Lonchura striata: one gene and its partners. The protein of the gene in region 2 interacts with the protein of the main gene of each other region in a pairwise test. Links are inferred from orthologs where the notes say so. Each region holds a gene or a part of one and is shown on either strand. Other genes may lie near its edges. The genes, in order: ARHGAP26, CDC42EP2 and CASS4.

Evidence for each region.
Region 1: the proteins of CDC42EP2 (region 2) and ARHGAP26 interact in binary tests that used the Homo sapiens proteins (3 or more experiments, as listed by UniProt). The two-hybrid records come from large-scale screens. The link is inferred for Lonchura striata from reciprocal best matches to the Homo sapiens genes CDC42EP2 and ARHGAP26.
Region 3: the proteins of CDC42EP2 (region 2) and CASS4 interact in binary tests that used the Homo sapiens proteins (3 or more experiments, as listed by UniProt). The link is inferred for Lonchura striata from reciprocal best matches to the Homo sapiens genes CDC42EP2 and CASS4.

The regions. Positions count from the first base shown.
Region 1 is NC_134617.1:1,008,046-1,015,176, forward strand, and holds the start of ARHGAP26 (rho GTPase-activating protein 26), read right to left. Parts: upstream 3,082-7,131; 5' UTR 2,950-3,081; coding exon 2,796-2,949; intron 1-2,795. UniProt on the Homo sapiens protein: GTPase-activating protein for RHOA and CDC42. Facilitates mitochondrial quality control by promoting Parkin-mediated recruitment of autophagosomes to damaged mitochondria.
Region 2 is NC_134638.1:217,629-224,886, forward strand, and holds the start of CDC42EP2 (cdc42 effector protein 2), read left to right. Parts: upstream 1-4,226; 5' UTR 4,227-4,585; intron 4,586-7,248; exon of another isoform or gene 7,249-7,258. Other genes in the region: POLA2 (DNA polymerase alpha subunit B), read left to right, coding at 192-251, 364-490, 773-980, 1,904-1,962. UniProt on the Homo sapiens protein: Probably involved in the organization of the actin cytoskeleton. May act downstream of CDC42 to induce actin filament assembly leading to cell shape changes. Induces pseudopodia formation in fibroblasts in a CDC42-dependent manner.
Region 3 is NC_134619.1:2,550,782-2,558,731, forward strand, and holds the start of CASS4 (cas scaffolding protein family member 4), read left to right. Parts: upstream 1-4,852; 5' UTR 4,853-5,097; coding exon 5,098-5,103; intron 5,104-7,950. UniProt on the Homo sapiens protein: Docking protein that plays a role in tyrosine kinase-based signaling related to cell adhesion and cell spreading. Regulates PTK2/FAK1 activity, focal adhesion integrity, and cell spreading.

The DNA of each region.
Region 1 (7,131 bases), on a different chromosome or scaffold from region 2:
TCTGTACCTACACTGAGGACAAAAGCAGGGCAGAGCAGCCTTTTCAGCAAAGCCTGGCAGAGACTTTGTTCCATGTCCTTACTCCAGTCTCACCATCCCTGCGTGCCCGTGCTGCTGCTCCTGCCCAGCTCTGCAGAGGGCTTTTCCTCTTCCTCCCTCTTCATCTTCCTCCCCTCCTCCCCAGCCCCACGGCCCCTCAGCAATTGCACAGAGCTACACGTTCTCCCCACGCCTGCCCTCGTGCAAAGAGGATGTGAAATGTTCAGCAGAAAAGGCAAGAGGAAGGAAAACGAGGGAGGATATTGCCAAGACTTCACAGAACTCTGGCTGCAGGCAGTCACGCTGCCCAAGGGCACCCCCAGAACCCCTCATGTGCTGGGGCAGGGGTCTGCTGCCCCCAGGCCTGCCCAGCTCCACAGTCACAACAGCTGAGGAGCAGCACGGAGACAATGGCAGTGAGATAAGGCCACCATGCCCAGCCATGGAGACAAACCAAAACCACATGGAAACACCACTGAAAAATAAAAGCTGGCTAAGAAAAGCAAGCTTCTGGTGAGTCAGGAATGTCCCCCAGAGGTGCACTGGCTCACGGGGGTGACATCCCAGCCCCTGTGACACAACCAGCAACAGGCAGCACAGCAGCTCCCCACCCCTGGAGCATTTCCATCCCTGCTGCTGGACACTGGAATGGTCTGCAGGGACTCATACAGCACATCAGACCTGTCACACACTGAGGGTGACACAGGTGGGACGAGCCAGCCCAGATCCCACCCAGCACCGGATCAGTCAGAGGAAGCACAGCCTGAAGCAGCCCCACAGCCCCTGAGGTCACTCGTACAGCAGGAGAAGGATGCACAGAGGGCCAAGCATCCCAGCCAGGGAGGGGACACCCCTGCCCAGCCTGCCGGGCAGTGCCCTGCCCCACATGGCCCAAACCCTGCCCCAGAGAGCCCTGGGGCCACCCCGGTGCCACACGTGCCGGGGAGGTGGCGGCAGGGCAGGCAGGGCTGGCGCCTGGGCACCGATTTACCCTGCAGCAGAATCAGCGTTATTCCCGTCCCTGCACCACTGAACTCCCCCCAGCCCTGTGCAGGAATTAAGGGCTAATCCAGGAACACATTCAATAGGAGCTCCAAAACAATTCAGCCATAAAAACATCCTTATCTGCAGAGGCCAGCGAGCGTTCTTCCTGCCCAGCGCTGGGCGTGCGGCACGGCCGGGGCACAGCAGCCCTGAGCCCACAGGGGCTCACAGCACACCCCAAAACACCTCACACAGCCTGCCCAGGGCTGGCTGCTCACCTCAGCCAGCACCTGCCACAAGCTAACTGACCAAGCCCACACACACCTGAGGACTCACCAGCTCACTCCCAAAATGTATTTTCCGTGAAGAGCAGCGCTGTAGGATTTGTTCTGGGGTAAAATGAATGCTACAGGCAGGGCCTGGCACTGCTGCCTTCAGCAATTGCTCCACAGCAGGACACAGCTCAGACCTGCAGAGCCATAAATGCACCCACAGCTGTCGGGTTTGAGATTCTTTTGACCCCAAATGCCAAGAACTGGTACAATGGGAGTCCCTGTAACCCAGATGTTACCAGCTGCTACTTCAGCACAGAGGAACTACACCCATGGGGCTCGGTGTGAGAAGGGGAGGGAGCAGGAATCAGCCCTTCTGGGAATGGACAGGGTGGTGGGAATGGATGGAGCATCACCTGCCGTGCACCCTGGGGAGACCTCGCTGTCCCCCAGCCCCCACAGTGACCCTGGCCAGGCTGGTTCACAGCAGGTGATGCTGCAGGGGCTCCATGGCACCTGTTTGTGATGTGCCCCTGTCAGCCCATGGCACAGACTGGTGACCATGTGTGCTGCCAGCATGCTGGGTACAGGCACTCCCCTGGATGGGGAAATGCCCTGTGGTGTGGGCCAAAGAAACTTAAACACAAGAAAACCCCAATGACCCCGTGAGGGAACAGCAGAAACAACATCTCCAAAGCTTGGGGCGCAGCTCACCCAGCACAGCTCCCCAAGATACTGGCAGCAGGTAGCCATGCAGAGGTGTCTCCAGCCCAGCTGTGGGGACAGGAGCCAGCCCAGCCCGGGCATCACGGAACACCGGGACGCTGCCAGCCACAGGTGAGGGTCTCCCCATGCCCGGAGCCACAGCCTGCATGGCTGCATCCCCCTCCCACCCAAACCTCACTGGCTTGCAGCTTTGCAGCCACCCCCGCTTCCCCATGGAGACGGAGAGGAAGAAACTGGAGGGGTCAGCCCGGGCAGAGGCACGGGGGGCTCCGGGCATCGCCCACCCCGAGCGGAGCCGGGACAGAGGACAACCGGAGCGGGGAGCGGGGTGGGCAGGCACCAACCCACCACCCCAGAAAACCGCTGCCAAAGGATGCGACCCCCGAGGCTCACGGACCGGGACCTGGCGGGCGAGGACCAGAACCACCCACATCCCAGTGGACCACGGCCACGCACATCCCGACGGAGCAGGACCGGAACCCCGCACGCCCCGATGGACCCACCCTGACGGGCCACACGTGCCGGGATGGAGCAGGACAAGGCCCGCGCGTGTGCCGGGGGTCCAGAAGCGGGACCGCGCGTGTCCCCGCGGAGCACGGCCAGGCACATCCCGGAGCACATCCCGCCGGAGCCGGAACCGGCACGGCCCCGCGGCCCGGCCACAGCACGGCACACCGGGGGGCCCGGATGGAGCAGCCCCCGTGGCGGGGCGGGCGCGGCTCGGCGGGCGGGGGGCGCGGGGTCCCGCAGGGCCGCCCCCAGCCCCGCACTTACTCTTGAGGGCGGCGACGAGCGACTTCCCGTCCTTGATGAGCTCCTTGATGAACTTGTTGGTCTTGTCCAGCTCGGCCTCGTGCGAGCGCAGCCGCTCCCGGAACTGCGGGCTGTCCAGGCAGCACTCGCTGAACTCCAGCGCCGGCAGCCCCATGCTGCCCGGCACGGCGGGGAAAGCACGCAAAAATCCGGAGGAAACGCAAAACGGAAGGGCTTTTAGGGCGAGGCGCGCAGCTGGGGGTGCGGGCGGGCGGCGGGAGCGCGGTGCCGGGCCGGGCCGGGCCGGGCCGGGCCGAGCCGAGCCGGGAGCGGGGCCGGAGCGCGGCCGGAGCGCGGCCGGGCGGAGCGGCGGGAGCGGAGCCGCGCGGGGGCGGAGCCGCTGCGGCCGCGCTGGGGCCCCGCCCGGGCCGGGCCCGCCCTCGCCACGCCCCCCCGCCACCAGCCAATAGGCGCGCTCCGGCACCGCTTTTCCCCGCCCACTTTTCCCGCTCGGCCAATCAGCTGCGGGGGCGGGGCGGAGCCGTGCCCTGCCCGCCGCTCCCGCACCTGGGCCGGCGCCGCCGCTGCGGAGCCGCCTCCGCCCGGGGCGGGGTCGGCCCTGCCCCGCTCCGGCCCTGCCCCGGCCCTGCCCCGCTCCGGCCCTGCCCCGGTCCTGCCCCGGCCCGGCCCTGCCCCGCTCCTGCCCCGCTGCTGTCCGGCCCGCCCCCGCTGCGGGGAAATCCGCGCCCGGCCTGCGGGAGCACCGCTCCGGCCCGGCCGGGTGGCGGCTCGCACGTTTCTGCTCCCACCATCGCACATCTGTGCTGGAGATTACTGCCCGGGCTTAGTGGTGTGGTCTGAGAGAATGAACCCGTAATCTCCTGATTCCATTCCCTAGCAGGGAAGGGCGGTGGGGCGCTGGCCCAGCGCCGTGTCCCCAAAAGCATCATCCCAGGGACGATGGCTGTCACACTTCCCTCCACATATGATGGCCGTCACCAGTTGTCCCCCCAGACGATGGCTGTCGCCGCGCACACAGCCCCGGTGCTTCTCCCCACAGCCCGCTTCCTTCGGGAGCACGCCGGGGGTTTGGCCCGGGCGCAGCAGCCAAATTCCTGCTCCTTCCTTTCCTCGTCACCTCCTTCCCCCGGCCGGGAGCTCCCGGAGCAAAGCGCAGCCGCACCGAGCAGCCGCTCCTCCGCGGGACACCGGGACACACCGGCAGCACCTGATGCCGGGACACACCGGTGCGGCTGATGCCGGGACACCGGGACACACCGGCAGCACCTGATGCCGGGACACACCGGTGCGGCTGATGCCGGGACACCGGGACACACCGGTGCGGCTGATGCCGGGACACCGGGACACACCGGTGCGCCTGATGCCGGGACACCGGGCTGCACCGGTGCGGCTGATGCCGGGACACCGGGACACACCGGTGCGCCTGCCGCCGGGACGCCGGGACACACCAGCAGCGCCTGCCCCGCCGGCCGGGCATACCCACACAATAAACCCGGCACAAGCACAGCAGCACGGCTCCCACGTCTGGCACTTTTCCCTGTGCTTATTTCTGTTCGCATCCTGCTGTTGTTTCACGGCAGAAGCCCCGGCCCGGCCGGCAGCGAAGCGCCCCGAGCCCCGCGGCGGCCGCAGGGACGGGCCGGCGGTGGCCGCCGTGCCCCGGGCTTGAGCACCGGCCACGCTGGCGGAGATCCCCGAGGGGCCGCGGTTGCCCGGTTTGCCCGCCCAGCCGGCCCGCCGGGGAAGGCACAGCGAACATTCCTGTCAGCTCAGCCGTGAGCGCCGCCGGGGCCCGGGCCAGCGCTCCGGCCGGCCGCGGGAGGATGGAGCGCGGTCCTGCACCCAGCTCCGCCTGCAGCGCGGGCTCCAGCCCCGCCCGGCCTCCGAAACTTCACCCACCGGCGTTCTGCAGAGCGTGGGTGTGGGCACAGGAGCCTGACACCAGCTCGACCTTTTGTCTCTGTTTTTTCAGCCCTCTAAAGCACGATTCTCTCCATCCTCACACCGCAGCCTAATTCAGGCTGAGTCACCGCCTTCAAATATGGTCTGTGAGCCACATTTTTTTGGATGAGGCCTCCTAATTATAAAAAAGGATGTAATACTAATTGCATGCTTATCTTGTAGGCAGGATATAAAGTTTAATGAGCTGTCATTTACGCCATATGCACACAGCCCCATAAAAGCATGAGATGTTATTATTTGGATTATGCTCCCTAATTCTACGCTGCACAAAGCCACAGGAGCACTATTTTGGTTTTATCCTTCTCCATCACCATTGTTCATATTTAAAAGCGTTCCAGCACTTACTGTTAATAGAGAAGAGCCTGTAACTAGATTTATAGGACACTGCCTTAGAGGATGCAAATATCTGGGGCTTGAAATTGATTTTTTTTTCAGCTCTTTTCCAGAATCACAGAAAATGATGATGCCTAGACTGTCATTTTCTGATGAGGACAGAATCAAGGCCTTACAAAGCTCTGCTACACATGAAGCACCACAGGAACTGAGGCCTCAGGCAGGCAGTGAGGAATCTTCTCCCCTTCTCCTGGCTGCATTCATCAGGAGACACTCATGTTTGAGCTCCAATTGGGAGAGCAGAGCAGAGCAGAGCAGCAGGACTGGTGAGGAACAGCCATGGACCTCTCCCAGCCCCATTTCCCTGTGATTGTGCATCCAAGCTGCAAAAGAATATCACAGAATACCCTGAGTTGGAAGGGACCAACAGCGATCATCAAGCCCAGCTCATGGCCCTGCACAGGACACCACAAGAATCCCACCACATTCCTGAGAACGTTTATCACTGAAAGGAAAAATAAGCAAACAAACGGCCCAGACTTCCACATCATCCTGCCTGTGGATGACAACAGTTTGCATCCCTCTGTAATCCCTGCCATATTTGCCTGCTTTGATTTATTGTTTCAAGCAGCTGGGTTGTCTCACCCCCAAGTGAGCCAGGTCAGCTGGACACCGTGTGGGGATCCAGCAGCACTGGACACAAGCCTGGCCACTGAGAGCTCGTCCCACTGGCCACAGCCACCCTCCTGCCAGCCTCTGCAGGGCTGTGCTCACTCATCCTCCCCACAGAGGAAAGCTGTGGCTGCCCTAATCCCTCACTCCCACCCGAGCCGGCCTTGACCACACATTAGCACATTCTCCCTCACCCACCAGCCCACATCCCACAGCTCACTCACTCAGGGAACATCTGCAGAAAACTACTCCAGCATTAAAATACATTTTTAAAAGAGCCGTTTCTACCTAGATTGTGTGACCCTGGATCAATTAACTGCTGGTGCAGGGGTGGGGGCTGTGGAAGGAAGGGAGAGCCGGCCAGAGGGCAGGCTTAGATGGGATACTGGGAGGAAATCCTTCCCTGCGAGGGTGCTGAGGCCCTGGCACAGGGTCTTGGAGCTCCTGGGACTTGGAGCAACCTGGGACAGTGGAAGGTGTCCCACCGAGACCTGGGAGATCTTTGAGGCCCTTTCCAGCCCAAACCAGGGTGGGGTTCTGTGCCTGCACCAGCCCAGCCCCAGCTGCTCTCCCCAGCGTTATCTCTGGGTGGGTCACGCAACCAGCTGGATTCAACCGGTTTGTTTGAAAAACAGCAATTCTTTCCAGAGTGAGCTCTCCGCTGGATCAGCTCCCTCATCTGAGCGCAGCATCCTCCCGCCTCCACCCGGCAGCGCATCCTCGCCGCCGCTGTCGCTGCGTGTGACACAGCCACCGGCACCGCGGCGCAGGGAGCCCCTTCTGCCCCGGGCAGGCTTCCTGCGGCCGGGCTCGGCAGCGGCAAAGCTGCGGCGACAGCAGGAGCGGGAGGGGAGGAGGCAGCCCCGGCCCCGTGCAGCTCCCGGCTCCGCCTGGGCCGCTCGGGGCGATGGAGCCCGCGGAGGGGCTGGCTCCGAGCTGAGCCCCGCAGCCCTGGCTGTCCGGGGGTCCCCCGGCTGCTGCCCCGCTCCAGCAGCGCTCCCACCCGGCCTTCCCCCCTCGCACCGACCCCTGAATATCAGCTGGCACAGAGGTCTGAGGCTGGGAGGGGAGGAATATCAGGAGATGGCAAAGATCTCCAAAAGAGGCTCTTACCCCAATATATGTCAGTTCAGCTCTCTTTATTCTGTGGTGTCCAAGGGGAGAGCGGGGCAAAAGAGAACGAACAGGAATTGTCGGGGGTCTGTACAGACTTTGGGCAGGGTGGGCTTCCCTGGCTCTCCCGTTGGGGCAGGAAGGAGGGTCCAGGGTGATCTGATCAGAGTCACAGGGAATGGGGAAGGGGAAATAGAGTGCCCATGGGCTCACTGTGACACCCACCTGCAAAAACCAGGCAGAACCCACGTTACAG
Region 2 (7,258 bases):
TTTTAGCATTTTCCCCATTTTTTCCCCTTTTTTCCCCTTTTTTCCCCTTTTCTCCTCTGCCTTTTCTCTCTTCCCTTCCCCCCCCAATCTCCTCTTTCCCCATTTTCCTTTCCCATTTTCCCCTTTTTCCCCATCCTTTTTTTCCTGTTTCCTCCCTTTTCTCACCCATTTCCCTCCCCTTTCTCCCACAGCTCCTCCGGCGTCTCCGACCGCTTCACGCGGATCCTGCGGCACATCCTGACCCAGCGCAGGTGAGGACCTCCCAAAAACCCTCTTTCCTCCCCAAAAACCCCCTCTGCCTTCCCAAAAACTCCTCTGTCCTCCCCAAAACCCCCTTTTTTCTCCCCGAAACCCCCCCTGCAGTTTCTACCCCCTGTACCCGCCCTCCGAGGAGCTCAACGTGGACTTCGAGGCGCTGGCGGCGTTCGCGGCGCTGCCGGTGACCCCCGACGTCCTGGTGACGCCGTCCGAGCTGCGCTTCTTCGTCAAGGTCAGGAATCTGTCCCTGTCCCTGTGCCTGTCCCTGTCCCTGTCCCCATCCCCTGTCTGTGTCCCCAATCTTGTCCCTTGTCCTGTCTCCTGTCCCTGTCCCCATCCCCGTCCCTGTTCCCTGTCCTGTTCCCCCATCCTTGTCCGTGTCCCAATCCTTGTCCCTTATCCCTGTCCCCATCCCTGTCCCATGTCCTTGTCCCTGTCCTCTGTCCCTGTCCTCTGTCCCTGTCCGTGTCCCCGTCCGTGTCCATGTCCCCATCCGTGTCCGTGTCCCCCGCAGGACGTCCTGGGCTGTGTCTGCATCAACCCCGGGCGCTTGACCAAGGGCCAGGCTGGGGGCACCTACGGGCGGCTGCTGCTGCGGAGAGAGCGGCCGGGGGACAGCGACGGGGACAGGGATGGGGACAGGGATGGGGACAACAACGGGGACAGAAATAGGGACAAAACCGGGGACAGAAATGGGGACAGAACTGGGGACAACGGGGACAGCGACGGGGACAGGGACGGGGACAGGGATGGGGACAAAACCGGGGACAGGGATGGGGACAGGGATGGGGACAACGGGGACAAAACCGGGGACAGCGACGGGGACAGAACATGGGACAGAACTGGGGACAACAATGGGGACAGGGACGGGGACAGGGATGGGGACAGAAACAGGGACAAAACCAGGGACAGAAATGGGGACAAAACTGGGGACAGCGACAGGGACAGAACACGGGACAGAACTGGGGACAAAACCGGGGACAGAACTGGGGACAGCGACGGGGACAGAAACATGGACGGGGATGGGGACAAAACCAGGGACAGAAATGGGGACAAAACCGGGGACAGGGATGGGGACAGAACCGGGGACAATCCTGCAGAGAATGCCGGGGACATTCCCAGGGACATTCCCAGGGACATTCCCAGGGACATTCCCAGGGACATTCCCAGGGACATTCCCAGGGACATTCCCAGGGACGCCCCCCGGAGCAGCCCCTGCGTGGCCGCCCAGGTCGTGAGGATTTGAGCTCCCAGCTCTGCCCGTTCCCACCCAGGGCTGCAGGGGCAGGAATTGGGGTTAAAACTCCTGGAATTCTGGTTAAAACTCTGGGAATTCTGGTTAAAACTCCTGGAATTCTGGTTAAAACTCTGGGAATTCTGGTTAAAACTCCTGGAATTACAATTAAAACTGCTGGAATTCCAGTTTAAAAGCCCCAGAACCGTTTGGCATGTGGAGGATTTCCCCAGGAGGATTCAGGATTCACCTCCAGTAAAACAGAATTTGGGAAGCGGAATCCGGGCGTGGGATCCTCCCTGTCCTGGCATCACCCTTTGCCTTCGGTGACCTCATTAGGGAACTTGGAGTTTAATTAGTCCAGAACCAATTAATTGTGGAATCCTGGCGCTGCTTCCTGCTGCTTCCCAGGAAAAAACAGCTGCGGGTCTGGCTTTGACCCTTTTCCCAAAATTTTTGCCCCAAATTGATGATGATGATGATGATGATGAAGGTGAAAATTAATTAAAGTTTCTGCCTGTCCCGGTGTCATTTCCTATGGGAAAAGATAAATCCAAGGGGTGGATTTTGGGGGAAAACCAGAGAAAATTGCGGCTGGGAAGGGAAACTCACAACTCTGCCGTGTGGCCGGAATTTTCCCAAAAATCTCCTTTTTCTCCCTAAATATCTGCATGGAGCAGTTGGGAAGTGCCAAGGTCACCTCCCGGTTCCTCCTCTGCTCTTTGCCCAATTCCAGCACTTCTCACCCCAAATCAAATACAGTTTTTCCAACATCCATAAAATCTTACTTTCCTCTCATTTCCAGCTTTATTTTCGGGTTTTTTTGCACCTGAGGGGAGGGGAGCAGAATCCCATTCCCTCCCAGGTTTCCCCTTGGGTTCTCCTCCCCCCGCCTCGGTTTCCCTTGGAAAAACTCCGATTTTGGTTAAAACAGCAGCAGGAAGAGCCAGAGCCGGGTCCTGGGGGGATTTGGGGAATTTCGACTCTTCCCCCCCACAGAGCCCCCACCGTACGATCCATCCCTAATTCGGGATTTAATTCGGGAATTCCGAGGGTTTTGGGAGGGAGCCGGTCCCGCTGGGGTTTTTCCAGATTTATTTTCGGGGCTCCTTCCCAGAGGAGAGGCCGAGGGAGCTCCGGGAATTCCCGGGAAGGGAATTGAGGCCGGGATGGGGGCCTGGGATCCGCTCGGGAGCGGCTGCGCCGGGACCGATCCCGAATCCTGATCCCAAATCCCAGCCCCGATCCCGAATCCTGATCCCAAATCCCGGCCCCGATCCCAAATCCTGATCCCAAATCCTGATCCCAAATCCCGGCCCCGATCCCAAATCCTGATCCCAAATCCTGATCCCAAATCCTGATCCCAAATCCGGCCCCGATCCTGAATCCTGATCCCAAATCCGGCCCCGATCCCAAATCCTGATCCCAAATCCCGGCCCCGATCCCGAATCCTGATCCCAAATCCCGGCCCCGATCCCAAATCCCGAATCCTGATCCCAAATCCCGATCCCGAATCCTGATCCCAAATCCCAGCCCCGATCCCAAATCCCAGCCCCGATCCCAAATCCTGATCCCAAATCCCAATCCCGAATCCTGATCCCAAATCCCGAATCCTGATCCCAAATCCCGATCCCGAATCCTGACCCCAAATCCCGAATCCTGACCCCAAATCCCGGCCCCGATCCCAATCCCGAGGTCCGCAGGTGACACCGCCGGGAATTCGGGAAAAGGGAAGGGAAGGGAAGGGAAGGGAAGGGAAGGGAAGGGAAGGGAAGGGAAGGGAAGGGAAGGGAAGGGAAGGGAAGGGAAGGGAAGGGAAGGGAAGGGGAGGGGAGGGAAGGGAGGGAAGGGGAGGGGAGGGGAGGGGAGGGAAGGGAAGGGAAGGGAGGGAAGGGAGGGGAGGGGAGGGGAGGGAAGGGAAGGGAGGGAAGGGAGGGGAGGGGAGGGGAGGGGAGCGCGGGCGCAGCCCCTCCTGCCCCCGGCCGCGTCCGCGGCGCTGTCGCGTCCCGGATTTAAAGGGAAAGCGGCGATTCCTTCCTTGGATCAGGAAAAAGGAGCGGATCCCTCCCCCACCTCCTCCCCGCTTCCCGGCTTAATTAAACCAGCGCTTAATTGGAGCTCCCCGGCTCCGCCTGCTCCCGGCTTAGAGCAGCGGAACGGCCGCGGAACAGCCCCTGGATCCCTGGAACAGCCCCTGGATCCATGGAATAGCTCCTGGATCCATGGAACAGCCCCTGGATCCATAGAATAGCCACTGGAACAGCCCCTGGATCCCTGGAACAGCTCCTGGATCCCCGGAACAGCCCCTGGATCCATGGAATAGCTCCCGGAACAGCTCCTGGATCCCTGGAACGGCCCCGGAACGGCCCCTGGATCCCCGGAACAGCCCCTGGATCCATGGAATAGCTCCTGGATCCCTGGAATAGCTCCCGGAACAGCTCCTGGATCCATGGAATAGCCACTGGAACAGCCCCTGGATCCCTGGAACAGCTCCTGGATCCCCGGAACAGCTCCTGGATCCCCGGAACAGCTCCTGGATCCCTGGAATAGCTCCTGGATCCATGGAATAGCTCCTGGATCCCCGGAACAGCTCCTGGATCCCTGCCCGGCGCTTTCCGGGCGTTTTTTCCTGCGAGCAGGAGAATCCCCGGATTTCCGAGCCCCCGGATTCCCGAACCCCCGGATTCCCAAACCCCCGGATTCCCGAGCCCCCGGATTCCCGAACCTCTGGATTTCCGAGCCCCGGATTCCCGAGGCGCCGCTCCGGAGTGTCCCGGGCAGGCTCCGATCCCTTTCCCAGCCGCGGCCGCTCCCAGCGCCACTTCCCGGGAATCCCGGCCCGGGAGGAGCCGCCCGACGCAGCCGCCGCTGCTTTCCCTGGATTTTGGTTTTTTCCCTGGATTTTTTGGCACCGCGGACACCGGGGTGTGGCCGAGGCCGAGACTTCTTCCTTCCTTCCTCATCGTCCGGCTTTTCCTGGGATTGTCCCGAGGGTTTTCCTGGGAAAAGGGAGGACCCGGCAGGTCCCGCAGTCCCCATGGAATTGTCAGCGCCGCGCTGCCCCCGCGCCGGACCCTCCGCTGGATCCCCGAGGTGGGGCGGGATCAGGGAATTCTTTCCCGGATTTAACCGATTTTAACCAATTCCAGCTTTTCCCGTGGCCAGCGCGGGGCCGGATCCCACGGACGGGTCCTGGCGCCGCTCCCAAAATCCCCGTTCCCCAAAAAACCCCAGGACCTTCATCCCAAAGGGCTCTTCTTCCTCTGGGCCGCTCGGGACCGCAGGGCAATGGGGCATTTCCATCCTTTTTCGGGAAAATCCAGCCCGCGGCACGACCCCGGGGCGAATCCGGAGGCGGGGATTTAAAATCGGGCACCAAAAAAAGGCTGGAACGGGTCAGGAGGGGAGGAATGGGAGGAACCCCAGGAGATCTTGGAGGCTGCTCCTCCCTCGGGCCATTCCCATGGGAAAAGGAATTTCATTCCATCCCCGAATCCCCGCTTGGGGAAAAATGTGGATGGGATTTCTCGTGGGGACACCGGAGTGGGGAAGAGCTGCTCAGACAGTGCCAAAATGCCTGAAAATTGGCTAAAACCCCCCAAATTTCTGTGTGGCAGGGCCCAAAATGCTGGAAATGGGCAGGAAGTGAGGAATTTTTCTGGAAAAACGGTGGGAAATGTAAAAATGTTGAGGTCCTGAAGCTCAAGGGGCTGAAAATGGGCAGAAAATTTCACATTGAGGTAGAAATTTCCAAAACCAGGTGGAAAAGGAACGGAATGTCCAGGTTGTGAGAGGTAAATTTGTGGCAAGAGGCAAAAAAAATCCCAAATGTTTCCTGAGCTGAAGCCTGAATTTCCAAGAACAGGTGGAAAGTGAAAAACCTGGATGGGCTGAAGCCCAAAGTGCTGAAAAAGGACCAAAATTTTCCTGTAATTTCAGAGAAAGAGCCCAAATTCCTCCCAATCCAAACCCTAAATCACCAAAAACGGGTGGAAAAGGAACAGGATATCCTCCATTGGAGCCGGAATTGATGGAAACAGGGGAAAATTCCTCAAATTTTCCTCCGTGGGAATCGAATCTGCTGATTCAGGCGATTCCAAGGGTCGGAGTCCTGGAAACACCTCCTGGAGCTCCTCCCACTCAGATCCTGGGGAAAACATCCCTTTTTTCCCCTGTTTTTTGCTCTTTTTCCCTGTTTTCCTCGTTCCTGACTCTTCCTTCTGGGGTGTCCTGGGTTCTCCTGGGATTTCAGGGGTGGAAACTCCCAGAAATTGGGGGTTTTTTTGGAGCTTTCTTCACGGTTTTCCTCCTTTTCCAGCCCATTTTTCACCTGTTCCGGATCTCCCTACAGGATTTGCCTGGGGGAGGAAAAAAAAAAAATAAAGTCCTACAGAATTCCAGAGGAGGGGATTTTGGGGCTGGAGTCGCCCGTTGCAGGGGTTTCCCTCTGGCAGCGCAAAGGGAACGGAGCTCCCGGAGCTCCCGGAACGTTCCGGGGCTTTGTCCCGGCGCAGCCGCGCGGGAGCGGCCCAGGGGAGGGACCGGGGCCTTGTTCGGGCTGCCGGAGATTTCCAGGAGGCAAAAATCCCGGAGCACCGGGACAGGCATCCCCGTCAGCCCCAGCCACACCTGGGGATCCACATTTCACAGCCTTCTTTCCCTCCAGATCCACCTTATTCCCTACAGATCCACTTCTTTCCCCCACAAACCCATTTTCCCTCCTAGAATTCCATTTTTTTTTCCCTACAGCCCAGTTCTTTTCCCTACAATTTCACTTTTTTTTCTCCACTTCAATCCTACTTTTTGCCCTACGTTCCCCTTTTTCCAATGGCCGCGGTGCTTCCCCGCGGCACCGGTGTGGATGTGATTCCAGAGGAAGATTCCCTGTCCCCGTCCCTGTCCCTGTCCCCAATCTTGTCCCTGTCCCTGTCCCCATCCCCATCCCTGTCCCTGTCCCATCCCTGTCCCATCCCTGTCCCATCCCTGTCCCTGTCCCCATCCCCATCCCTGTCCCATCCCTGTCCCTGTCCCCATCCCTGTCCCTTTGTCCCCATCCCCATCCCTGTCCCATCCCTGTCCCTTTGTCCCCATCCCCATCCCTGTCCCATCCCTGTCCCTGTCCCATCCCTGTCCCATCCCTGTCCCATCCCCATCCCTGTCCCATCCCTGTCCCTGTCCCTGTCCCTGTCCCTGTCCCTGTCCCTGTCCCATCCCTGTCCCTGTCCCCATCCCTGTCCCGTCCCTGTCCCATCCCTGTCCCTGTCCCTGTCCCTGTCCCTGTCCCATCCCTGTCCCTGTCCCCATCCCTGTCCCGTCCCTGTCCCATCCCTGTCCCTGTCCCATCCCTGTCCCTGTCCCATCCCTGTCCCGTCCCTATCCCATCCCAATCCCTGTCCCATCCCTGTCCCTGTCCCCATCCCTGTCCCATCCCTGTCCCCGCCCCTCCCGCCCGTCCCGCACTAATCCCGGGATTAGCGGCGCCGCTTCTGCACCGTCAGGATTCTCCTGCCCGGAGCCGCCGGACGGAGCCGGGGCCGGGCCCCGATCCCCGGGACCGCCCGGGACCCTCTCCCCTCCCGGACCCTCTCCCCTCCCGGACCCTCTCCCCTCCCGGACCCTCTCCCCTCCCGGACCCTCTCCCCTCCCGGACCCTCTCCCCTCCCTCCCCTCCCCTCCCCTCCCTCCCCTCCCTCCCCTCGCGGCCTCGGGAGCGGCGCCAGCGCCGGTCGGTAACGGGGTCTGGGCGGATGGGGGGAAAACGGGGCA
Region 3 (7,950 bases), on a different chromosome or scaffold from region 2:
AACAAAGGAGAAATGGTCAAATATTGGAGGCTGGGGCTTGGGGACTTTGGAATGATGCAGTTGATGTGTTCCACCTGAATCAGGTACAATTACATACTCAAAATGTAGAATGTGGGAGATTTTTATTTAAATAATGAAATTCATTTTTCTCTTGAAAAGCTCCCTTTATGCAAAACATTTCTGAGGCTTAATCCTCATTGCTCCTCCTCTGCCTCTGAGTTTGTGACCCTTCAGAAGCAGTGGTGCTGAGGGATACTGGTGCTGGTGGCCTTTTTGGTGGAGAAACCAGGAGGAGCAGAGCTGGGGGCAGGGAAAAGGGAAGTCCTGACACAGTCACTGAGGCGTGATGTGCGATGGGTGACAGCCGTGGCTTTTTTATTTTTGGAGTGCCACCTTTTTTTTTTTAATTCTGCTGAAGCACCTGTCTGTAATTCATGCACTCGTTGGTGTTTGGAATCTGCTTTTAAACCCTCTGTTTGTGGTTGATGTGTTAAAGCACCGCTGTGGTTGTGAACAGTGGGAGCTCTCACCTCAAGCTTCTGCAGTTCTGGGGGCTTGAACTCAGAGTGCAAGAGCAAAAAGTTCCTTTTTTAACACAAAACCATCCTGCCATTGGCACCCTGCTGCCTTTCCATGTTCTGGACATCCTGAGGCCACGAGGTTGGTGGACTTCTGTTGGAAAAAGAAGGGCTGAGAAAAACTGACCTCATCCTAGTGAGGGAGAAAATGCAAAACACAGTGTGCAAAGCCAGGTTGGATGGGCTTGGAACAACCTGCTCTGCTGGAAGGTGTCCCTGCCCATGGAGTGAGGTGCTCCTTAAGCCCCTTCCAAGCCAAACCATTCCCTGGCTCTGGAAACACTTTTCCCTGGAGGTGCTTTGAATTCCTGGCTCCTGCTGCTGCTGTGAGAGCCGGGACCGCCTGGAAAGCCGGGAGAGGCTGGCAGTGCCATCCTGCAGTGCTGGCACTGGGGCAGGGCTCTCTTATCGAGCCTCGGCAGCTCCTCGCTGTGCCCCAGCCCTGCTCTCACTGCTGCAAAAGAGGAAACAGGAGCACGGGCAGAGGGCTCCGCTTCCCACTGCTCAACTGCGACAACTTGGTGCAGGAAGACCAAGGAAAATCCCACTTGACGCTTCATTTTCTCACTGGAGTGGCCAAAAGGGCTTTTTTTGGGGGGGTTTATTCTGCCCTCCTTTTGTGTCCTGTTGTCTCAGATGGTATCTTACACCAGGATGTCTCCAGGTTGCAAGGGCTGCTAGGGGCAGAGCTGTCAGATGGACTTGGCTGAGGGGAGTTCCCCACGCGCGGCGCCTGGGCAGGGCTGAAGCGTCCCCATCCCACCGTGGCTCTGCTGCTCCAAGTGCAGGATGACAACAATGGATGCAAGCCCAAGGAGCAACACAGCTGCAAAGGTAGGGCTGAATTTGGGGTAGGGAAGGGTTCGGTGGTTGAATTCAGTGGGATTCTTGGTGATGTTGGAAGTAGCAGTGATGAGACCCATCCGGGTCTTGTCCTTCATGGCTGGAGTGTGTCCAGGGCAGGGGATGGAGCTGGGAAGGGGATGGAGAATCCCTGAGGGAGCTGGGAAGGGAATGGAGAATCCCTGAGGGAGCTGGGAAGGGAATGGAGAATTCCTGAGGGAGCTGGGAAGGGAATGGAGAATTCCTGAGGGAGCTGGGAAGGGAATGGAGAATCCCTGAGGGAGCCGGGAAGGGAATGGAGAATCCCTGAGGGAGCTGAGGAGGCTCAGCCTGGAGCAAAGGAGCTCAGGGGGACCTTGTGGCTCTGCACAGCTCCTGCCAGGAGGGGACAGCCGGGGGGATTTGGGATCATCCCAGGGAACAGGGACAGGAGCAGAGGGAATGGCTCAGGCTGGGCTAGGGGAGCTCAGGGTGGGACCAGCAGGAATTTCCCCATGGAAAGGGGGTCAGGAATTGGAGCTGCCCAGGGAGGTTTGGATCCCCATCCCTGGGGGTGCCCAAGGAGGTGCCACTCAGAGCTCTGGGCTGGGGACAAGGTGGGCATCAGGCACAGCTTGGACTTGGTGGTCTCAGAGGTCTCTGCCAACCTCAGTGCTCCTGTGGTTCTGGGAAGTTTGGGTTCCTCACCTCGGGGGGACAGAAGGCTCCTGTGCCTGATGTCCCCCTGTGCTTCTCATGATGACAACACCAGTGACTGGGAGGGATAGCAAGGATCCTGGATAAAGCAGAGTGAAAACAACAACAACAAAAAATACCTGGAAGTAAGCACGTTTGTGAAATTATAAATATAGAATTCAGGGTTCCACCTTACTGCTGTGCTGCAGTGACATTAGAGACACAGATCCTTTCTTTGCCAGAGACTTTCAGTGACAGCCCTGGTGCCCTCTTGCATGACATGATTTCTTTATGTTACATGCAAACCAGAAAACATTTTGAAACACTCTGTGTTCCTATTTTGAAAGACTGGACCCAGTGTATAAGGTTTGTTACATTTATTTCTGTATCCACATTCAATCGAGATTAATTTTCTATAGGTTAGAGGCCCTGCTGCAGCTGTGAGGGTTGGAGAATGCTGAAATCTTGATTCAAAGTCAATGCCTTGCTGTCCTGCTCTCTGCAAGCCTAATAAGTGTACTGGAATTAGGGTTTTCATCGTGGATTATGATCTCAGTGTTTACTGTACATAAACTGCCTCCTGGAAATTTCATAGAAAATGTAGTGGGAAGGAAAAGCTCAGTGAGTCATTTTTTTACACTCCAAATTTTCCATCAATGCTTGTAAAGATTAGGGGGCTACTTTTCACATTGAGTCATAGTAACTGAGGCAGGACATTTGTCATCTCTATACTGAAGAATTTCCTATTTCTACATATATTTCCAGTTCTCTTGAGCGGATTGTCAATAAATCAATGTAATGGTAGCAAACAGATTACCTGTTCTGCTGTGAGCATTTTAGACATGTCAGAGCCCACCCAATCCACTTCAGCTGAGTAATAAAACCCAAAATTATTTCTGCAACATCACTTATGAATTGTCCATAAGTCCCCTACCACCTTGGCAGTACAGTTTATGATGATACTTGAATGATATAAAAATACAAAGGGGTTTTTTTTCTGCTCTCTGAACTCCTCGAAGCACCAACCCTCAGCAGCATTGCTGTGGCAGGAAATGCTCTGCAATTATCCCTGTGCCCAACTATTGCACCTGCACGGGGAAAACCCCTCTGAAAACCATCTCAGGCTGAGCTCAGCCAGGTTGATGCTTGTTTATTGATGTTTTTGTTGATGTTTTTTGTTGATGTTTGTTTGTTGAAAACCATTTCAGGCTGAGCTCAGCCAGGTTGATGCTTGTTTATTGATGTTTTTGTTGATGTTTTTTGTTGATGTTTGTTGAAAACCATTTCAAGCTGAGCCCAGCCAAGTTGATGTTTGTTTGTTGTTGCGTATCCAGGGGTGCCACAGGAAGCCTTGCAGCCCTTGCTGCAATTTCAAACCCCTCCACGACAGCTTCGGCTGAGCTGAAACACAGATGAAAAATTAAACTCACAATTCTAATTCTAAAGATTTGCAGGGAATAGGTATGTTTATTTACAGTGCTGTGGACGCATGTCGGGGCTCTTTGCCCTTTAATGGACATGGGTACCTCTGAGAACTCTTGATCTTTTTTTATTACCCTTACTAATTTCTATATGCATAGAATTTCATAATAGGTTAATGCATATTTATTTTGCTGATATTAGGAAAAAATCCTTCCTTGTGAGGGTGGGCAGCCCTGGCACAGGTGCCCAGAGCAGCTGGGGCTGTTCTGGATCCCTGGCAGTGCCCAGGGCCAGGCTGGAACACCCTGGGACAGTGGGAGGTGTCCCTGCCATGGCAGGGATTCCCTCGGGGCTCATTCATGGGAACATTTAATTGTATTTGAAAGTAGTTCTGTGGCCACAAGCTGTGGGTTTGTAGCTGAGGTTACTCCAAATGCTGGAGCACCTGAAAAACTCCGGGGTAGCAAATGAATGGCTCCTGATCACCTGCATGAAGTGTCTGAAGGGGTCAAACTACTGCTCCTGATACTTAAAAAATAAAAAAGGAAGGAGAGAAAAACCACAAAGGCATTGAAATGGGCTCCTCTGTGCCAGAAATTCTTTCTCCTCTGGACAGCAGCTGGTTTGCTCCCAGCCCAGAGGTGTAGATTTTGTTGATGAAGCTTTTCAATTCAGCATTTTCTATTCAAGAGATTAAAGTATTTTCTAACTACAGGATTGTGGCTTTGGGAGCCAGAGTCTAATTTAATCTTGAAGCTACTGTGGAAAGAGGAAGGAAGAGGCTTTTACCAGAGAAAAACCAGCGTGTACAAAGGCAAAACCAGTAAAAATTTGCCAACAAAAAGATATCCTGAGTCCAAAGTGGCAAAACCTGTGCATCAGCATGACCTGGACTCAGCTGTTGCCAAGCAAATAACAGCCGTTAATAACTTAAAATAACATTATACCTTAATAATATTCAAGGATTTTTTAAATAATCCAAGAAACAAAACCCTTCAGCTGCAGTTCACGTTTAACTTTCCTCCTTGCGTTTTCTGCCTCTGCAGGGTGAGGTTGTTTTGCAGGGGATTTAAAACCACAAAGGGGATCTGTTCAGTTTTCCAGAGACAGATTAAAAATGTAGCAAACCTCACACCACTTTGAAGTTGAAAAGAAATTTTTAAAAACAACAACAACCAAAACAAACAAACAAATCCTCACACACAACAAACCAGGAGTAAAAAATGCTGCTGCAAAAATGCTTCCAAATCCAATCCCTTTCATGGTGCAGCCCTGCTGCCCTGGGTTTTCTGTTCAGAGCAGGGCAGGCATTCCCTGCAGGGGACTCTGTGTGTGCTGCACATCACCAGCTGCAGCCCCGTGGCTCCCTGGAGAGAATTCTGCCACGTAATGAGCTCCCCCCGTTCCCAGAGCTGCTTTCCTGGGGCTCCCAGCGAGCAGGAGGTGGCAGGGGCTGAGCTTTCCCTCTGCAGGCTTCCAGCCAGAGCCTCCAGAGCTGCCTGAGCCACTGACAGGGCTGGGGACATCCTCCTCCTCCTCCTCCTCCCCAGGTGATGGACTAACAGGGAAACACAGCAAAATGAAGGTCAGTGTAAGTCCTGGGTTCTTTTCTTTTTGATTTAATGACTTTCCTGATTTCATTTGTAGTAGGTAGAGGGTAAAAAATCTGCATCTGGCAGGGTCTCTTTGCAATGTGTGTGTGTTCAGCTGATTTGCACATCACTAAGAGAGCACGCGGTCTTAATTTAAAAAATATAATCCAAATTAACCCTTTCTCAAGAACAGCAGTGTGGCTGAGGAGGGTGAGGGTTCGTTCTGTGTGCATTGAGTAACAACAAGTTTATTAAAAATGATCATGAGTGACTCAGACTGGTCACTTCCACATTCTCTTGGAAAAAAAAACGAGGTTAAGAGTTGAGCGGTGTATTACCTCAAAAGAGATGATGCTTTTGCATTGATTCCTAGAAAATGGGTCATGGAAATGTCTGGAGAAGTGAGGTCAGTGTGGGGTGAGGAAAATGCCGAGCGATTTCAGTCTGAGCCTGGGAAAGCCTTTGCACTGGAGGGCACGGACTGGCCACATCCTGCAGAGCTGCCTGCATCACAAGGGCTCAGAGGAGGACAGCAGTGCTCATTTTTAGGAAACGCTCTTTTCTCCTGGATTGGGGGGGATTGAGTGATGGATCAAACCCATTTTGCAGCCGTTTGTCCCCATTTCTGCGCCAGCCCCGGGCTGGGCTTTGTGCTGAGCAGGGTTTGGGCTGTGCCAAGGGACAGATCAGGGCAGGGCTGTGCTGTCACCGCGTGTCCTGGGCTGATGGCAGGCACGGAGCAGAGCCCAGCTGCTGCCTGGGCACTCGCAGCAGGGATGAGCCCAGCTGGAAACCCACAGAAACACCACGACTGCAGTGCTGCTCACTCAGAAACCATCCATCCCTCGTTTATTCAATGCGTTTCGTTCATTTGCTCCCAAGCACCGCCTGTGCGGAGGGCAGCGTGAGGACAAGGTTTTGGGGGATGAGCAGGGCAGCCACAGAGCCCCAGCAAGCTGCAGCTGGGGGAGTCGTGCTGCTGCTGATTCTTGGTGGATCAGAAACCCCCAGCCTGGCCTCAGCCTCGCCACTGCTGCCACGGAATTCCTGAAAATTTCCATTTTTCAATGAAAAATGTGCCATTTGCTCCCCCAGAGCTTCCCTGGGGATGTTTTCCCTCATTCACAGAGGGTGAGGATCCTGCTCTGAGGAGTGCCCAGCTTGTACTCACCAGGACTTCCTCGAGCTGTAAAGCCACATTTAGAAATAAATGTAGTCAGGTGTAATTAAACCACAAAAAGTTTTTAAAAAGTAAAAAAAAAACCCTAAAGTGATTGGGTGCATGTGGGAAAAAGAAAGGTTTGAGGACCCAAAGCCCAGGAATGCTCCCACAGGGAGTGTTGGGAGCAGCAGGAAGTGGCAGTTGATTTTCCCTTGAACTTGGGCATGAGAGCACTCCCCTAAAAATGCTCCGAGTGGGGTGAAATCCTGGCTGCACTTCCCCTTCTGGTGATTTTAACAGAGCTAAGATTTGACTGGCTTCATCTGTGGAGAAAAGAGAGTTTGGGGAAAATTAACAGAACTCCAGTTTGTAATTCCCACCTCTGCAGCACTGCCCGGTGTGAAGCTGCAGGATTTGTAAGCCTGATTTTTTTTTAAGTGTATTTTTTCCCTGTATTTCCTCAGATTTAGAATTCAAAACCTGCTGATCAGCACCTGCTTCCATCCCCACAAAATCAATTAAAGCAATAAAAGCATGTCCTGATGTTCATTCCTCCTTGAAGCTCACACAAAACTTCTGTATGAGCTGAACATTTCTTTTCCAAAATAGGCAAACAGCACAAAAAAAATGCAGAAGGTCCTTCTGCAGGTCACAGGAAATGCTGCACACGCAGGTGGAGAATGATCTGAGCTTTTAAGGTAAATTCTCTTTTCCTGTGGATGTTGGTGTGAACTCTCCACAATTAGCTGAGCAAAATGTAAGTGACTCGCCTGGTCTGGGGTTTAAAGGGGAATTCTCAGGGAAGCCTGTTCCCAGCTAATGGATGATGGAGAATGTTTATTTCTGCAGCTTTGTTGGGAGATTAACTGGGAGCTGCTCTGTAAACATGTCAGAGGTGTCTCTGATGTATGAGCAGAAATGTTTAGCAAACACAACCCTGTATCTCTTCCCCCTCAAATATTTTAAGTCCCACTTTCCTGCAGTAAAAGAGCTCACTCATATATCGATGTGCAACGTGAGAATTATTTCTCTCAATCCACAAAAACTCCCAGGATTAAATGCTCTCTTTACTTACATGATCTCAATAGGGGTTTTTAAGAAGCAAATTGAAGATAATAAATGCAAAATTACTTTTTTATCTGAAATGCTGTGAAATAGTGCAGTGCTCATGAAATAATACAGGGCAGCAAATTGAGATTTTTCAAATACAAACTGAGTGGGGCAGGGACATTATTTTGTGAGGCTTGTGGGCAAGATGCTCAAATTATCACGAGCTGTACACCACTGTGTGCACTTGGATTTTTCTAGCAATGTTTGTATCTATTTTATAATGATATTTTTTTTCTGTTGCATTATCCTAGATACTGAAGATAAGACTTGAGACAGGAGAGGCATCAGGAGATTTTTAGTAACAGTGGGATGTTTCTTCCTTAGCATAAATATCTATTGTGTGCACAGAGCACAGATGTCACTCTGAGGGTATAAAATTTTACGTTATAGAACTGGGCATTGATCAGCTTTACTGCCCCTAATTACAATTACTCCATTAATAAACATGAGGTAGCAGCTTTCATTCCTATGACTCCCAAGGGCTGCCAAGGCTTTGTAGAGGGACCAAGGCTGGATTAGGATCTGCAAACAACAAAGATGTGAGAGGTCCAGTTTGGGAGGGGAATTA